Arabidopsis thaliana: one gene and its partners. The protein of the gene in region 2 interacts with the protein of the main gene of each other region in a pairwise test. Each region holds a gene or a part of one and is shown on either strand. Other genes may lie near its edges.

Region 1 (6,312 bases), on a different chromosome or scaffold from region 2:
CAAAATAAACAACAGAATAGAGAGAGAGAGAGAGAGTATCATCACGCGAATATCATCATCAACAAAACAGTTGAAGAGAGTTGGTGTGTAAAAAAGAGAGAGAGAGAGAGGGAGAGGGAAACCCACGTTTTGAAGAGACTCGATGACTCTGTCCATGTATATGATCTGAGACTGGTACGCCTCGAATGGGAATTCAACATTGATTCCTCTGATGCTGTAATTTGGCATTTTCGGGTCGGATTCCGCCGATAACACCACAAAACCTCTCCGGAGAAGACGAAGAAGAAGACGGAAGCAGACGCGCCTCTTCTGATTTTCCCGCCTTGTAGGGCTTCCACTTCTTGAAACAACCGTAAAGCCCATTATAACCCACTACTTTATTAACAAGGCCCATTACCTGATACCTGATGGTCTGTATTGGGGCCCCCAATAAACCCTAAACCCTAAACTATTTGGGGGAGTTAAAAAGTTTTGTTTTGTTTTGTAATGCTGTGTACCAAAATTTGTCCGAGTTAGTACGATTTTCTCCTTAGTCGCGTTTTGCTTGTATGTGTGTCTCTGAAGAAAAGTGATACAGAGAGAAAGAAAGAGAAGGGAGCCAATGAGAGAATATCAAAACTGTGAAAAAGAAGTTTCCGTCAAGATTCCAGGACAAAAGTATTGTATTTTTTGTTTTGTTTATCAATGTAAAATCTCATTTCTGTTTCACTCTTCCTCCGATCCCGACTCTTCAGAACTCGACTCTTTCTTCTGTTTCACACTCCCATTGGCCTTCTTCGACCCTCTCTTCTCATCCATATCTTTCTTCTCATCCTCATCTTCACTGTACTCACTTTCGTAATCATCATCGTAATCCTCCTCCTCAATCTCATCTTCCTCCTCCATACCTTCTTCTGCAATCGCACCCTCATCTGAAACCAACCCACGTGTCCCTGCCCTGGTTCTTTTCAGGACTTTCACTTTCAGTGCTTGCTTTTTGTCACACCCGATCCATGTGTCACACAGGCAGAAGCAAGTCAAGTTGTATGTTCCCTCTGCCGGTGCTTGGAGTTTACCCATGACCAGCCTTGACCCTCCTTTAACCTTCTCAATCGCTTCTCTCACTGCATCGTTTGTTTCCTTCACCCCTGCACCCGAACCTTCCATTGACTCACTGATGGCTTTTGATGCAGCCGTTATCGCTCCACCTTCATCCAGGAAGCTAACCTTCTGAGAGAACCAAACGTTGTTCGACACTGAATCAGCCAGAAGAACCCAATAGTTTTCCTCCTTGTGGAAGGGGAAGTAGGGTGCATGAGGAAGAGCGCCTACAAGCCCATTGGGTCGTTTCAGGGTGACCCAAGCTTGAAGGGTCACAATGTCTCCCTCTTGGATCCCCTCTTCCCCTTCTGTTTCACATGTGATGTCGACTGTAATAGACGGCATCATTTCTAGCACCTTCTCAATGTCCTCAACATCAGTTGCTGATAAACCCGCTACCTGAGTAAGTAGTTCAGAACGGTCTTCCAACCTCATTTCTTGAAGATCTTGGAATGATTTAACCTTCTGAAAATAGGAGAAACAATGACATGTTAACATAAAATGGAGGTTTATATATGTCTTTAGACTAGACCTTTAAGTAAACCAACCTAAAGAACCACTACTACTTATTTGGAGAACAGAATCCAACAAGATTCTCAGGAATCAAAAAGTGAGAGAAAAATGCACATGATATGGAACTAGATATTAGTACTGCACTTGACACATTTGATAGTAGTATACCTTCCGTGCTATCTTTTTGACAACGGCATCACTGAAATGAGGGAGCTGTAAGAAAGGGGAAATGCCTTCTGATGATACTCCAGAAGACTTCCTTGCACTAAGAGGAACAGCCTGCGATTTTGGATTTTTAGTTTATGTTCCTAGACAACAACACTAAGCACTTCTTAAACTTTCAGGAAGAAGTAAATCTTGTGGAGAAAAGAGACATAAAGAACTGAAAGCTCACAAACAAATAAAAACTAGAAGATAGGCGATGAGAGCAATTTAAGACCTGAACAATGCACTGAGATAGCTCAACTACTCCAACTGCAGGCCTCAGCCATCCATGCCCTTGGGCAGTGCGTGGTATAACCGCCATCTGCAAGAAACTCACAATGTTATAATGAAAGAATGGTTAAGAAAACCACAATTTAACAGTGTAACCAAAAGCATCACTATTAACCTAAATTTCTAAGTCTTTTAAGAGTCTGTTTCGAGTTCCTCTAAAGGAAAATACATATCTTCTAGGTTAGCACTTTGCGGTCATCGCTTTTTGATGGTTATTTTATCAGAAATTGTGTTATTTAAATAGAGACTAGACCTTCAATAACTCCTCAAGGAGGCGAGGTGCAAGCTCTAGCACACGCCTGAAATCACCCTGAAGGGCTGGAGACAGGACTCCTGATTCACGAGTTAACTGGGCTTGTATCAACAGCTCGGTCTGTACAGAAATTGAGGAAGTGAGTATTTCAGTTTATCCAATATTTAGCATTACAGTTGCATAATTTTAAAATTCACCTTCACTATGGCAGGATGCTGTTTCCAAAACTTAGCTTGCTCTTGCTTCATGTTCTTCAGGTCCAAATTTAGTTCACTCCTAACAGACATAAAGAGCTTCTGCAGAGGTTCATCATCAGTTCTACGAACTGGAATCTCCATGTACTCAGCTGCCTTGGTGAAAACTTCCATAACTTTGCTGGACAATAAAAATTTTAAAACATGTCATACAAACAAACGAAAACACAGCCCATTTGTCATGCACCAATAGCATCACTTGAATGTATATGGGTATGAGTGAATATACCTTGGGGCCAGAGAGGGTTTCATTAGATAATAATATGCGGAGAGTGTTTGATGCATAACGTAGTTCCCAGTATACTTTGATGACCTCGAGAGATATATAACAGCAATCACAAGGGGCAAGAGAATACAGACACCAACTATCCAAAGCAATAATATGCCACCAGATGCTCCATCAATGTCTAGAAGAAATTGAGGAAGAGCAATGCCCATTTGAAATCCCTGCGATCACATAACAATATTTTAGTCTCAATAGGCTTGTCAATAAGACGGGAGCACATGCGAAGGGAAAGGAGATGTATCCTTACCTGTCTGCCATCTGGATGACCATACTTCTCAAAGTTTTCACGGGATACTGAATCAGTCAAAGCCTGGTATGCTTTAGATATGAACTCCACAAAATATTTATTGGCTTCTGTAGAGATCAACAAATGCGCATAGAAGAAAAAACTATCAGGATCAAAAGCTGCAACCATAATTCCGTAATGATCAAAAGGGAAAAAAAAAATAACAAGGGGAAAAACTTGACCTGGATCTGGATTTTTATCAGGATGGTATTGAATCGACAGCCTTCTATATGCTTTCTTTATTTCTGAATCTGTAACTCCAGGTTCCAGTCCAAGTATACTGAATGGGTCAAAAACTTGAGCCTGTAACACAAAAGAAGGTAAATAAGCAAGTAGAATTAGTTGATATAAGTCAGCGGTGCATTCAAGTTCAACAGCAAGCAATGGGATTACCTCACGGCTCATGTTCTTAGTGTAATAAATCAAGAAAATCATCACGACCCAGAGTAGCACAAGTGTCAAGTTGCTCCACGTAGAGAAGTTAGAGATCTGCAGATAGATAAGTGAAGAAGAGGTTAGGAACATGCAATAATCTATTACAGAGCAGGAGGTTGAGTGGAAAGTAACCTTTTTAAACAAGGATCTCTTATATTTTCCAGAACGGTCACACTCGAGACACTGACAATGAATGGTCCTTTGTTTCTTGGAGAGAGCACCGCTTAACTTGACCATGGTGTAAGGCACCAAAGGAATTGCCATAATCGTCAAGATAAAAATGGGAAACAATGCGCTATTCTCTTCTGACGCCGCCATCTTTGGAGCCTTTAAACTGAGAGATTCTATTCTGCTGAAAGGAAAAGCTCTGTTATAATCTCACAACATCCAAAAAGCTTCAAGGATACAAAATTATCAATAACATGAAAAGCTGGATCTGAGGCCACTGAAATTAATTAGGGATTCTACATGACGGAGATCAACACTAATAGATCTCGGCTAATCTAGTCTAAAGGTATATGAATCCCTGGACTCACTTTGAGATCGACACAAAACCTTAGAAAACAAACAAACGAAACTACGGGAAGGAAGCAAAACCAATAATTGGTGAAAGAAGATGAAATCGAACTTGAAAGGATATTGTAGAAGAGGAAATCGAAGAAGAAGCTCACCTAGGATGATAGCTCTCTATAATCAGAGAGATCGCGCTGCTGCAGATCGGCAACAAACGGCGTTGCAGTTTTTTTTTCTTTATGCTTCTCTTCTCTTCTAATTTCTGATTTCTGATTGGTGAGTTCTTTCTTCTTTACTTGCTTATTCACTTTTCTTTACCTTCTCAATTAAAATATTTCGCAATTCATTTCTCTCTTTACATTTTTACGAGTTATTTATTTTCCATTAAATTAGAGTAATTATTAATAGCAAAGTTTTTATGGTGAACGAAAACGAATTTCCCAAAAAAAATCACATTTTTTATAAATTAGAAAGGAAAAAGAGAAAAGGATATGGATCAAAGAGGGATTATATGCTCTAGAGATTTAATGTGATCCAGATATTGTAATAGGGATTGCAACAAATCTCTTATATGTTCTAGAGATTTAATGTGATCTAGAGATTGTAAATAGTTACAACAAAATAGAGATTTAAACAAAACAAATATTTAATGATTTTAAGAAAACTGTTTTGTTGTAACTATTTATATTTCGACCAGAAATAAATTGTTCTACTTGCAAAATACATCAATCTTCGTTATTATTATCGATTTAATCATAAACTGTCTAATTCAATTAAATTTATAAGAGCATGGTTACCAATACTTTTTTATCTACTGTAACGAAAGCTAATAATGATTTTGAATGAGTTTGGTATGATTTGGTTATTCGATTCACTAAAATAGTCGTTTTAAATCTAGCCAAATATCGTATAATTTTACTTGTTTTGATTATATTAAATAATCAGTTATTTGAAAACTTTGTTGACATGTTAATATTATATATAACTAAAACAAAATATAGATATTAAAAACAAAGAAAATGTTATTATATAGCTATTATCGTTTTTCATACCATTTAAATTTTATTACTGGCTTTCATATTATGATATTGTTGTACATAGACACCACTGCTAAAATGCTTATTAACTTGAGATTTTGCTTGTGAGATTTGGAGGCTAATTTTTTTCTCGGTTAAGCATTTCTCGCATCATATGCCTTCCACATAGTTTGAGCTTTTGTTCACCAAATGTTCTTACCACTCTCAAGAAACTGGCAGCACACGAATATGCTTTCCACATGGTTTGAGCTTTTCTCTTGGACAAAAACTCGTTCACCAAATGTTCCTACCACTCTCAAGAAACTGGCAGCACACGCATATGCCTTCCACATAGTTTGAGCTTCTCTCTTGGACAAAAACTCGTTCACCAAATGTTCCTTCCACTCTCAAAAAAATGGCAGCACACGGTGGAGTTTACCACATTTGAAAACAAGTAAATAATGTCTTACATAATTCACAGTCACTGCTTTCTTCGATCATTTTCAAGAATTTTGACCGTGAAATTTGCAATACCATATCTTCAAGAAGACATCTAAAAGGTTTTCGCAATCTGGTGATTAGGTTAATGCTCTTTTGTAATACATTTCTTTCATTTTATATATGATATTAACATTTATAACAAAAGAAAACAATCATAGCATATTGCATGTCATTGCAAGTTTGCTATATACAGTAGTTTTAAACCGAGTAAACTTAAGATCAGGTAGGAAAGATGCAAATAAAGAAGCAAGTGATACCAAAAATATATGTAAACATTTAATATAGTTCTTCAATCTAATTGACGATTAGAAAGTACTGTACTAGATGATTACGATCCAAGATTTTTGTCCACACTAAGAATATTTCACAAAATAAGGTTTGCAACAGTAGGATTGAAATGCCAGTAAACAGTGACATTATCTCGAAAAAATCCAACTCAGAAATCATTTACTAGCTAATAATATTTTTCAAATAGTTTAGAATTATTATTGTTGTTTATCATTAACGCATACAAAGTTAGTTGTATAATCTTTCAACTTATAAATAATTTGGTTTTGGACGGAAGAGCTTTACGCAAATGTATTAATTTGGTTTTGATAATTTTTATTTGTAGACTCGATTTGTTTACGTAAATTATGAAAGAGAGGCAAAAATAAATATCATAAGATATAGTATTAGAA
Region 2 (5,283 bases):
AATTGCCCCTTAATATGGTCATACAGTCAAAGCAACCCACTATCTTGAGACCCACAAAACAGTAAAAAAAAAAGCTAATGAATTTCCACTAGATTCTGTTGTTTTTATTAGTAATAAAAAATTTTTGAGTGTTAACATTTTGATATTGTTTGTATTTGAAACAACCAGAATGCCCATCGGAATGTGATAGGAGGTGTAAAAAGACACAGTACCACAAGGCTTGCATTACGTTCTGCAACAAATGCTGCAGGAAGTGTCTCTGTGTGCCTCCGGGTTACTATGGGAACAAACAAGTTTGCTCCTGCTACAACAACTGGAAAACTCAAGAGGGTGGACCAAAATGCCCTTGAAAAAATCTCCCTTCGTTCCCTTTTTATAATAAAAATTTTCAACTATAACTAAATTTCCTTTGATCAATGTTTTATCTACTTTATTCCTAATGTTGTAATGTTATGTCACTCCTTTTCGGATTTTGTTCTAAATCCTAAAAAAAATGAGAGTGGCCCTATGAATGATATTTTTCATGAATACTTGTGTTTCTAAAGATATTTTCCCATTCATCCACCAAAAAAAAAGATATTTTCCATTTCGAAAATAGTAATACTATAAAGGGTAAGGCAAACCAAATAATACAATTTAAAAAATTCCTGCGAAAGAAGTATGCATATGTAGAAAAGAGTGACATTGGGTCTCTCGGCCCAGTACTAAAAAGCCCATTATTGATTTTTCCAAGCTTTTTACAAAATCACGTGTTCTAACGCGATTGCTTTTTGCCGCAATCTTCTTTTATACAAGACTTGGGCTTTGGGCAGTTGGAAATAAATAACGACAACGATATTTTACAATCGGTGCAATGATATGAACCACAAACTTATAAACGTTTTACCCGTTCATTACCCTACGTATCAATAAATACTCTTAATAATGCCTTATATATTGACATTAATCGACAAGAAATATGAGGTTTGGAGTACAACTATAGTTATTAGCATTAACAACAAAGCTCAATTTAGCTCTCTTTGTTAGACATCTCACATGCATTTTGAATGGTGATCTTGAAGAAGATACTTTTTTTTTTTATCAACATGTGCATGCTATTTTTTCACAAGCACAACATGGGGAAATGGCCGGCAATGAGTATTCTTCTTTTCTAAAGAACTCATTTTGTAACCTATAAAAGTTTTTGGTTTCGATTTCTGAATGAAAACATATTGGATAACTGTAAAAAATTTGCAGTATGGTTTTAATAGTAACGAAAATATATAGATATATATGTCGATATTTTCATTATTGTTAGAACTACTCGGCACCTTGTAGAACATAACTGTAAACTAGCGTCAAGATATTGATTTACGTCAGATCAAGGCTATTCATACTTATCTACTCTTTAGGTCTGGGGATTCACTTGTCAACTATTTTTAACAAACGACAACAAAAAAATATGTGACGATTTTTCAAGTGCTCCAGTCTCGTCCAACAGATTATTGACATGATATACTACTTTGGACCATGTATTTTTATGAAAATTTGATCCCTCTTCAGTCTTCACCGAAAGAGGATTTGGTACTTGCATTCTCTCTATCACCTAAGTTAAACGCCCTAACATTAAAGTGGAAAACTTCGTGGAGTTTTATTTTCTCTCTTCCTACCAATTTTCTTATACAACTAACATTAAATTCTAGAACCACACAAATCGCAAATTATGGTAGATTTGTGTGTAAGTGGTTATAATTTTTTTCTATATAAAGAGTTGCACTTAAATTTCAATTAGTTTCTAAAAACCCCATCCACGAATATTTAATTGGTCAATAAACATTAAATAGAATTCCACTGCCACGCTAATATCGTGTAGATATCATATGTGCATGGATACTGCATAAAAATCAGCTCTAATAATTGATGTAATTTAAAAACATTGACCCTAGTAAATGTATTAACACTATATATATTGCCTTTTGAGGGTTTCTTTATTGTTTACTTCCAAGTTCCAACTTCTCTCTATCTATTTCCTTCGTCTCTCGATCTCTCCGTCTCTCTCTCTTTGTCTCTTCGATATCCAAAGAGCAGAGTCAAAGACTAAACAAGTATGAGCGAGGACAAAGATTACATGTCGGAGCCATTTATCGTTAAGAAGATTGATGATGAAGAATCATTGCTTGATGATTATAATCCACAGGGCAATACTTCTTTCTCCAAGACTTGTTTCCATGGCATTAACGCCTTATCAGGTTTAATTTCCTCTTCTTCTTCTTTTTTTTTTTTTCTATTTTCATTTTCGTGATTGATTTTTTCTTTTTGATTTATTCACCACTTCTTCTTATCTCCAAACTCCATAACTCACGGGGAAAGATCCAACTCTTAGCATGTCCACATATATGGATAGGATATATCTTAATTTTCAAAATAATCTAGAAAAAACTATAATTAGCTTTATTGTACTTAATTTCTATAGATGCATGTTTTTAACTCAAGCTTTTGACTTTATCTTGTATCATCTAGATTGGTGTGTATTTCAATCCTACATTTTGTTTCTTTACCTCCTAGTCTTGCCTCAGTTTTTTTAGTTATTTAATTTTTCTGTTGATAATTTATCATAACCAAGTTAAAACCAGTTCTACTTAGACTGAATTGTGTTTTTCTTCGTCTAGATTCAGTTTCATAGTCTTTGATAAACAATAGTGCTAAATAACCAAATCATTTTTGTTCTGACTATTAAAGGTTAGGATGGTTCCGTTTAACTGAATTTAACACTATAGTATTAACAATTCGGCAAAGTTTTCAATGACTATTGCTATTATTTATTCGCTAAATGTGGTAATGGCCTAATAATGGGTTTATCAAACTGGCCGCTATCGTTGTACTTAATTGTTTATATACCAAACTAGATACTTAGTTTATACTAAAAAAACTAATTATATACTGGAAACACGTCTGACCAAACTAGACCAAACTAGACCATATACGAACAAAAAACAGTCCATATAATTAAATAGAAAGAAACCAGCAATTCCAATTATCTTTCAGATATAAATACAACGTGTCACTGAACAAAACCTTAACACATTAACAACACGTCTTCCCTTTTCAATTTGTGTTCTTCTTCTTCTACAAGACTACAAACCACTTTGATAAAATCAAATCATATTATCTTATTGGTAACGAGACCACGAATATTTCTTTGCGTTTGTGTTTTCAATTAAAAACTGCGTTTGCGTTTTCATATATACAAAAAGAACGTTTGTAAATAGTTAACACAAAAAACGTTAATTAGCATATGCGTTAGGCTTGGACATTCTTCTGATCAACTCTTTTTTTTTTAGGTGTGGGTATATTATCGGTCCCTTATGCCTTAGCATCCGGAGGATGGCTAAGTTTGATCATACTTTTCACCGTAGCGATCACAACTTTCTACTGTGCCATTCTCATTAAGAGATGTATGGAAATGGATCCACTTCTTAGATCATACCCGGACATTGGCTACAAAGCCTTTGGAAACACAGGACGTGTTATCGTCTCCATCTTCATGAACCTCGAGCTTTACCTAGTTGCAACTAGTTTCTTGATCCTAGAAGGTGACAACCTTAACAAACTCTTCTCAAACGTTGGACTCAACTTCATGGGGCTTGAATTCCAAGGCAAGCAAATGTTCATCATCATGGTGGCTCTCATTATTCTTCCTTCGGTTTGGTTAGACAATATGAGGATTCTTTCTTATGTTTCCGCGAGTGGTGTCTTTGCTTCCGGGGTTATTCTTGCTTCTATCTTTTCGGTTGGAGCTTTTGAAGGCGTAGGGTTCAAGAACAATGACTCAGAGGTCTTTCGACTTAATGGAGTCGCTACTTCGGTGAGCTTATACGCGTTTTGTTATTGCGCTCATCCAGTTTTCCCAACTCTATACACTTCCATGAAGAACAAACGCCAATTCTCAAACGTAAGTTTTTTACATAACGGATCATTAGGTTATTCTTGACCAAAACTCACACTAATAATTTTGCATATTTTTTTTAACATTTTCAGGTTATGATTATATGTTTCACAATATGCACCTTCATATATGCATCAGTGGCGGTATTGGGTTACTTAATGTATGGATCAGATGTTGAATCACAGATCACTTTGAATCTTCCTACTGATAAGCTTAGTTCAAAAGTGGCGATATGGACTACATTGGTCAACCCAATAGCTAAGTTTGCTCTCATGGTTACACCTATTATTGACGCAATGAGAAGCCGGTTTTCTCGAGTTTTGCCTAATAAAAGAGCTTCTGGATTTTTGCTAAGTACAATACTAGTTACTAGCAATGTGATTGTGGCATTGCTTCTTCCGTTTTTTGGTGATCTTATGAGTCTTGTGGGAGCATTCTTGAGCGCATCCGCATCGGTTATATTGCCATGTTTATGTTACTTAAAGATCTCTGGGAAATATCAAAGACTCGGATTCGAAACATTGGTGCTCATCGGAATCACTCTAACCGGTATCGTGGTTGTGATAACCGGAACTTACCAAGCGGTCAAGGACATTTTTGGTCGATTTTGAAATCCCAATAGGTGAAGTTTAGCTTATAGAGTATTTGTTTAGGAAGATATTTGTACTACCAACAGTCCAATACCATAATTTGTTTTATTTGATTTTTTGTGACTTTCGTTAACGAAGTTTTTTTGAGTTATGTAATAATTTGGAATGAGAAAAATGTGAATACGTTAAATGAAGACATGAGTTGATCTAGGTGTCTGTATTAGACACTAATCAAGTCATTGATTCGAATTCTTACATCGCCATCGGTATTTAACGGTTGATCAGTATACTCAGACAGAATTGCTCGAAACTCGTCTCCCGTTAAGGTTTCTTTCTCCAACAAAACATCAACAAGCTTGTCTATAGCTTCTCTATTATTCCTCACGTGCTTTTTCGCAACCTCGTAAGCGTCACCGATTATTTTCTTCACGCAAGAATCAATATCCTCCGCAAGTTTCTCGGACATTGAGTTCCTCGCTAGCATCCGTAGAACCACATCGTTTTGCTTAACCGCTGGGTCGGTTAGTGCCCATGGACCGATTTCCGACATACCAAACATCGTCACCATCTGAACCATAAGAATAATTAGAAAATCCACCGTTTTTTTCCGGTTTATGAAAATTTTGTTTCAATTACTGTACCTGTCTTGCTATCTCAGTGACTTGCTGGAGATCACCGGCAGCGCCGGTGGTTATCTCCGGTTCTCCAAAAATTACATCTTCGGCGGCTCTGCCTCCGAGTCCTCCGACGATTCTAGCGAACAATTGC
Region 3 (4,583 bases), on a different chromosome or scaffold from region 2:
AAAGAGCATTGCAAAAATATTAAGACAACAACAAAAGTAAGCTCTTTAGCTGATATACGACCACCAACTATCTGGCTATCGAGAAGATCTAATATGCAGGGAAGTTATTCACTAGAATAATTCAATAGATTTGTTTAGTATAAAACTATTATTAGATTGAGTAAATATAAAAATAGTATATTTAAATTTGAGAGGAATGACATATGTCAAATGAATCAAACACCACTTGTCAGTTTTTTACGGTATGAGTTTGAGGGAACCTTACTTATATGTAAATGTATAAAAATAGTTAAACTTAATAGGCGTTCGTTCTAATCCCTAAAACAAAACCTTAGTTACTTTAGCGTATAGGGCAAGTAGGCGCAGACATGGATATGTCGATGAGAGAAGAGAAAAGACCAAAAGTGTTTGATAATCACGGTTGGTCCAAACTTTAATTTGTCCCGCGCGATCTTTGCAAAAGACCATGAAAATATTGATCTTTATTTACCTAAAGATCATCAAGGTGGATGCGCGTAACGATTTGATGAGAGAAGAAAACTGACCAAAAGTATCTCATCATCACGACTGGTCCAAGCTTTGTCTTGACCTTTTGCGAAAAATCATTGAAAGCTTGAACTCTATTGACTACCACCAAGCAAAACTCGTTTGCTCAGATTGGTATTTCGTTTGGAAAACATGCGTGAAACGGCCTCTGTATCCATGGCGGATCATATACTACGATGATGATTCTTCCAGTTTGTTTGATCCCGGTGAAGACAAGATTTACGGGACAAAACTCCTCGGACTCTCTGACAATAGCTATTATATGGCTAGCTCCGGAAACTGGCTCTTGATGGTAGATTCTTGATAGGTTTATAAGGTCGACTACTAGAGAAAGAAGCTGAGAAGATTGGGCTAAGCGAAGCTGAGAAGAGAAAAGAGGAAGTCAACTACTGTGTTGACTGAGTTGACTTAACAAATGAGGGCAAATACTCTTTCCAGTTAGAGGCCTTGAAACTCTTCTTCTATAAATACTGACTCTGTTCTTATCTGGGGATTTTATGCTTTTTATGTTGTGATATTTCTCGAGAGAGAATTGGCCTTGTGATGTGCCAGAGGAAGAGATCAATGTTGATCTCTTGGTCATCGGTTGCTTATATCTATGTTGATCTAAACATAACGATTCTTATCTTCTCTTTGTAGTTACGTAATCGATTCTATCATTACGATCTAGAGTTTCTAGAGTTTAAGGATTTGAAACTTTAACAAGTCTCGTCTTGATTCGAATCTTATTAAAGATCAATCTTCCGTCAATGGAGTCGTCAGTTCGCGGTGGAAAAATAAGATTCGAGCCAAGCAGATACTATAATAGACAAGGCAAGTGGGGATGGTTCGTCCTCCATCCTTTTGGTAAGTATTGCGTGTCCAAACACATGTTGGGAATAACAAGATCAGTTGGTCTTGGATAGATGAGAGGACAGTGGATTATTTAATTGCTTGGACTTTACACAACAGTTATTTGTTCACATACAAGAAAGGAGATGATTCTTGGTGGAACTGGAATGATAAGTATGGGACATCAGCTCCGATGTTTGGGGATTTAGCTTACAAGAACAGCAAGCTTTATCAGTATACTTTGCGCCACTACATCAAGATTATTGATTATTGTTACATACTTTTACTTCACCTTTTTGTTTTGAATTTTTTTTTTTATAATGATTTTAAGACAAGATTGTGTCAGCCGTTGACTTATGATCAACTAGGAACCTAATCGGAACGCAACTCGAGATTCATTTTATTTATTTTATACTACAAAATTATCTTGAAAAATATATCGAGGAAGGTGTCATATCTCATGGAATCCGAATCTGCCAATAATATGAGAGCCACTAGCAATTATTCTGAATCTCCCCAAAGGGAAGAATCAAAAGTTGTTCTCTCTTGTTCTGTCTTTGTTCTTTGTTAGAGTTAGAACAGAAGCTTCCAAAAGGTAATAATAATCTCTTTCAAGAAACTCATTATTAGTCAAAGATGTTTACTTTTTAGTACTCTCTCTGTTCTTCATTGCTTCTCTAGAAACCCAATAGATTTTGACTCTTGCCTTGCCTTTGCGGTTGTCTAAAGATCACAATCCTCAATTTGAGTTTGATCGATCATTAATGTGTGTCGAAGATCAGATAACCAAAAGAATCTTGTTTGGTGCAGAGTTTTTTTCATGATTTTTATAAGTATATAAAAGAGAGATAGAAAGATGTATATGATAGAGAGCAAAGGAGGAGCAATTGCATGTATGCTCTTGGCTCTTCTCTTCTTAGGGACATGGCCAGCAATCATGACTCTAACCGAAAGACGCGGTCGACTTCCTCAACACACTTATCTTGACTACACACTCACAAATCTGTTAGCTGCAGTGATCATAGCGTTGACACTAGGAGAAATAGGTCCGAGCAGACCAAATTTCTTTACACAGCTCTCTCAAGTCAGTCACATCTTCTTACTTCTCCTTAGACATCTTGTCGAAAACTATTGTATAACCGCGGTTTTTTTTTTTATCATAGGATAATTGGCAGTCAGTGATGTTTGCAATGGCTGGAGGAATAGTTCTTAGCCTTGGAAACTTAGCAACACAATATGCTTGGGCTTATGTTGGTTTATCAGTTACTGAAGTCATCACAGCTAGTATCACTGTTGTTATCGGTACACTCTTCTTTCTTCAACTACTCTTAACTGATTTTTTCCTCTGTTTCTTCTCTGTTCTTATGACCATTTCTGTTTTCTAGTACAGGCACAACTTTGAACTATTTCTTGGATGATAGAATCAACAGAGCTGAGGTCCTTTTCCCGGGGGTCGCTTGTTTCTTGATCGCTGTTTGTTTCGGTTCCGCTGTTCATAAATCCAATGCTGCTGATAACAAAACCAAACTCCAAAATTTCAAAAGGTTTGAAAAAGATTCATATCTATTGTTGTTTCCGTTTGGTTTGGTTTGGTACTAATCTTGATCTTGTTTCAGTTTAGAGACTACTTCTTCCTTCGAAATGGAAACAATTTCTGCAAGCAACGGGTTAACAAAAGGGAAAGCGAAAGAAGGGACTGCAGCTTTTCTCATAGAGCTTGAGAAGCAAAGAGCTATAAAGGTTGAAACATACTACTCTTCCTTTACCCTAACAGATATAACTGATATGTATATATGTTCTCTGAAGATTCATGATTGGCATTGAGGACAGGTCTTTGGCAAAAGCACAATAATCGGATTGGTGATAACTTTCTTTGCCGGTATCTGCTTTTCTCTGTTCTCACCTGCATTCAACTTAGCAACAAACGATCAATGGCACACATTAAAACATGGAGTTCCAAAACTAAATGTGTACACTGCCTTCTTCTACTTCTCCATCTCTGCATTTGTAGTTGCTCTGATACTTAACATCAGATTTCTCTATTGGCCTATACTTGGTCTCCCAAGATCTTCTTTCAAGGCTTATTTGAATGACTGGAACGGTCGAGGCTGGTCTTTCTTGGCTGGATTTCTATGTGGATTTGGCAATGGTCTTCAGTTCATGGGTGGTCAAGCCGCAGGCTATGCAGCTGCAGACGCTGTTCAGGTTTAGACAATAAACAAATCCTCTGTTCCATGATTTAAGAGTGAAATATGTTTTACTTATTATGATTTGAATATGTTTCAGGCACTTCCACTTGTGAGTACATTTTGGGGGATATTGTTGTTTGGAGAATATAGAAGATCATCAAGAAAAACATATACACTTCTCATCAGTATGCTTCTTATGTTCATAGTCGCTGTCGCGGTTCTTATGGCTTCCTCGGGACATAGAAAATGAAATTCACTGAAACTTCTTCAAGTTAAACTGCTAAAAGGATCCATTGAAGGAAGAGTTACTTCACCAATGGCTGCAACATGTTCAAGTCTTTGTTTATATTTAACCAAAGTGTTTTCTTTGTTGGTTTCTGTCTTAGGGCTTTGCTAACAACAATTGGTTGTATTGTCTTTGTTTACACATCAGAGAAAGAAAACTATAGTTTATGGCAACTTGAGATTTATTTATTTTATAGAAAATGGGAAACTAACTTCTTCCTGAATCTGGATCTGCCAATCAAATGAGAGACTAAGTTTTTTTTCTTCTGTATCTGTTGTTCTCTGGTCTTCCTCAAAGTCAAAGTTAAGACAAAAGCTTTAATAAGGTAATCTCTTTCAAGAAACCTAGTCAATAGGGAAATTTAATGGAATATAAGGTTTGAGTTTTATAGAGATCTTCTTGTATCAGCATGTGTCTTGTGTTAATGTTCTAAAGAACCTTTCTTAAGACAACTAGCTTCATTTTTATCACGAGAGATCAATGATATGATAACAGAAGAATCTCACTTCTTTACTTTGATGCAGTGGGATTTGGTGATTTTATAAAATGTATGTGATAGAGAGCAAAGGAGGAACAATCACTTGTATGCTCTTGGCTCTGCTCTTCTTAGGGACATGGCCAGCAATCATGACTCTAACCGAAAGACGCGGTAGACTTCCTCAACATACTTATCTTGACTACACACTGACAAACCTGTTAGCTGCAGTTATCATAGCGTTTACACTAGGCGA

Evidence for each region. The genes of interacting proteins can lie anywhere in the genome.
Region 1: the proteins of AT5G15240 (region 2) and ATERDJ2A interact in a protein complementation assay, tested with the Arabidopsis thaliana proteins (one large-scale study listed by BioGRID).
Region 3: the proteins of AT5G15240 (region 2) and UPS1 interact in a protein complementation assay, tested with the Arabidopsis thaliana proteins (one large-scale study listed by BioGRID).

Annotation. Positions count from the first base shown.
Region 1 is NC_003070.9:30,067,631-30,073,942, reverse strand, and holds ATERDJ2A (DnaJ / Sec63 Brl domains-containing protein), read right to left. Parts: upstream 4,425-6,312; 5' UTR 4,274-4,424; exon of another isoform or gene 4,231-4,273; intron 3,955-4,230; exon of another isoform or gene 3,952-3,954; 5' UTR 3,921-3,951; coding exon 3,735-3,920; intron 3,657-3,734; coding exon 3,561-3,656; intron 3,471-3,560; coding exon 3,350-3,470; intron 3,236-3,349; coding exon 3,129-3,235; intron 3,043-3,128; coding exon 2,825-3,042; intron 2,717-2,824; coding exon 2,539-2,716; intron 2,462-2,538; coding exon 2,342-2,461; intron 2,120-2,341; coding exon 2,033-2,119; intron 1,873-2,032; coding exon 1,762-1,872; intron 1,546-1,761; coding exon 706-1,545; 3' UTR 503-705; downstream 1-502. Other genes in the region: AT1G79950 (RAD3-like DNA-binding helicase protein), read right to left, coding at 127-363. UniProt on the Arabidopsis thaliana protein: Required for integral membrane and secreted preprotein translocation across the endoplasmic reticulum membrane.
Region 2 is NC_003076.8:4,945,676-4,950,958, forward strand, and holds AT5G15240 (Transmembrane amino acid transporter family protein), read left to right. Parts: upstream 1-1,901; 5' UTR 1,902-2,086; coding exon 2,087-2,228; intron 2,229-2,899; exon of another isoform or gene 2,900-3,320; coding exon 3,321-3,931; intron 3,932-4,017; coding exon 4,018-4,536; 3' UTR 4,537-4,735; downstream 4,736-5,283. Other genes in the region: GASA4 (GAST1 protein homolog 4), read left to right, coding at 169-350; FTSH6 (FTSH protease 6), read right to left, coding at 4,736-5,083, 5,157-5,283.
Region 3 is NC_003071.7:1,092,896-1,097,478, forward strand, and holds UPS1 (ureide permease 1), read left to right. Parts: upstream 1-1,806; 5' UTR 1,807-2,233; coding exon 2,234-2,461; intron 2,462-2,540; coding exon 2,541-2,679; intron 2,680-2,767; coding exon 2,768-2,921; intron 2,922-2,993; coding exon 2,994-3,117; intron 3,118-3,207; coding exon 3,208-3,582; intron 3,583-3,663; coding exon 3,664-3,816; 3' UTR 3,817-4,081; downstream 4,082-4,583. Other genes in the region: AT2G03580 (F-box family protein-like protein), read left to right, coding at 369-420, 657-838, 1,281-1,392, 1,498-1,586; UPS3 (ureide permease 3), read left to right, coding at 4,399-4,583. UniProt on the Arabidopsis thaliana protein: Proton-coupled transporter that transports a wide spectrum of oxo derivatives of heterocyclic nitrogen compounds, including allantoin, uric acid and xanthine, but not adenine.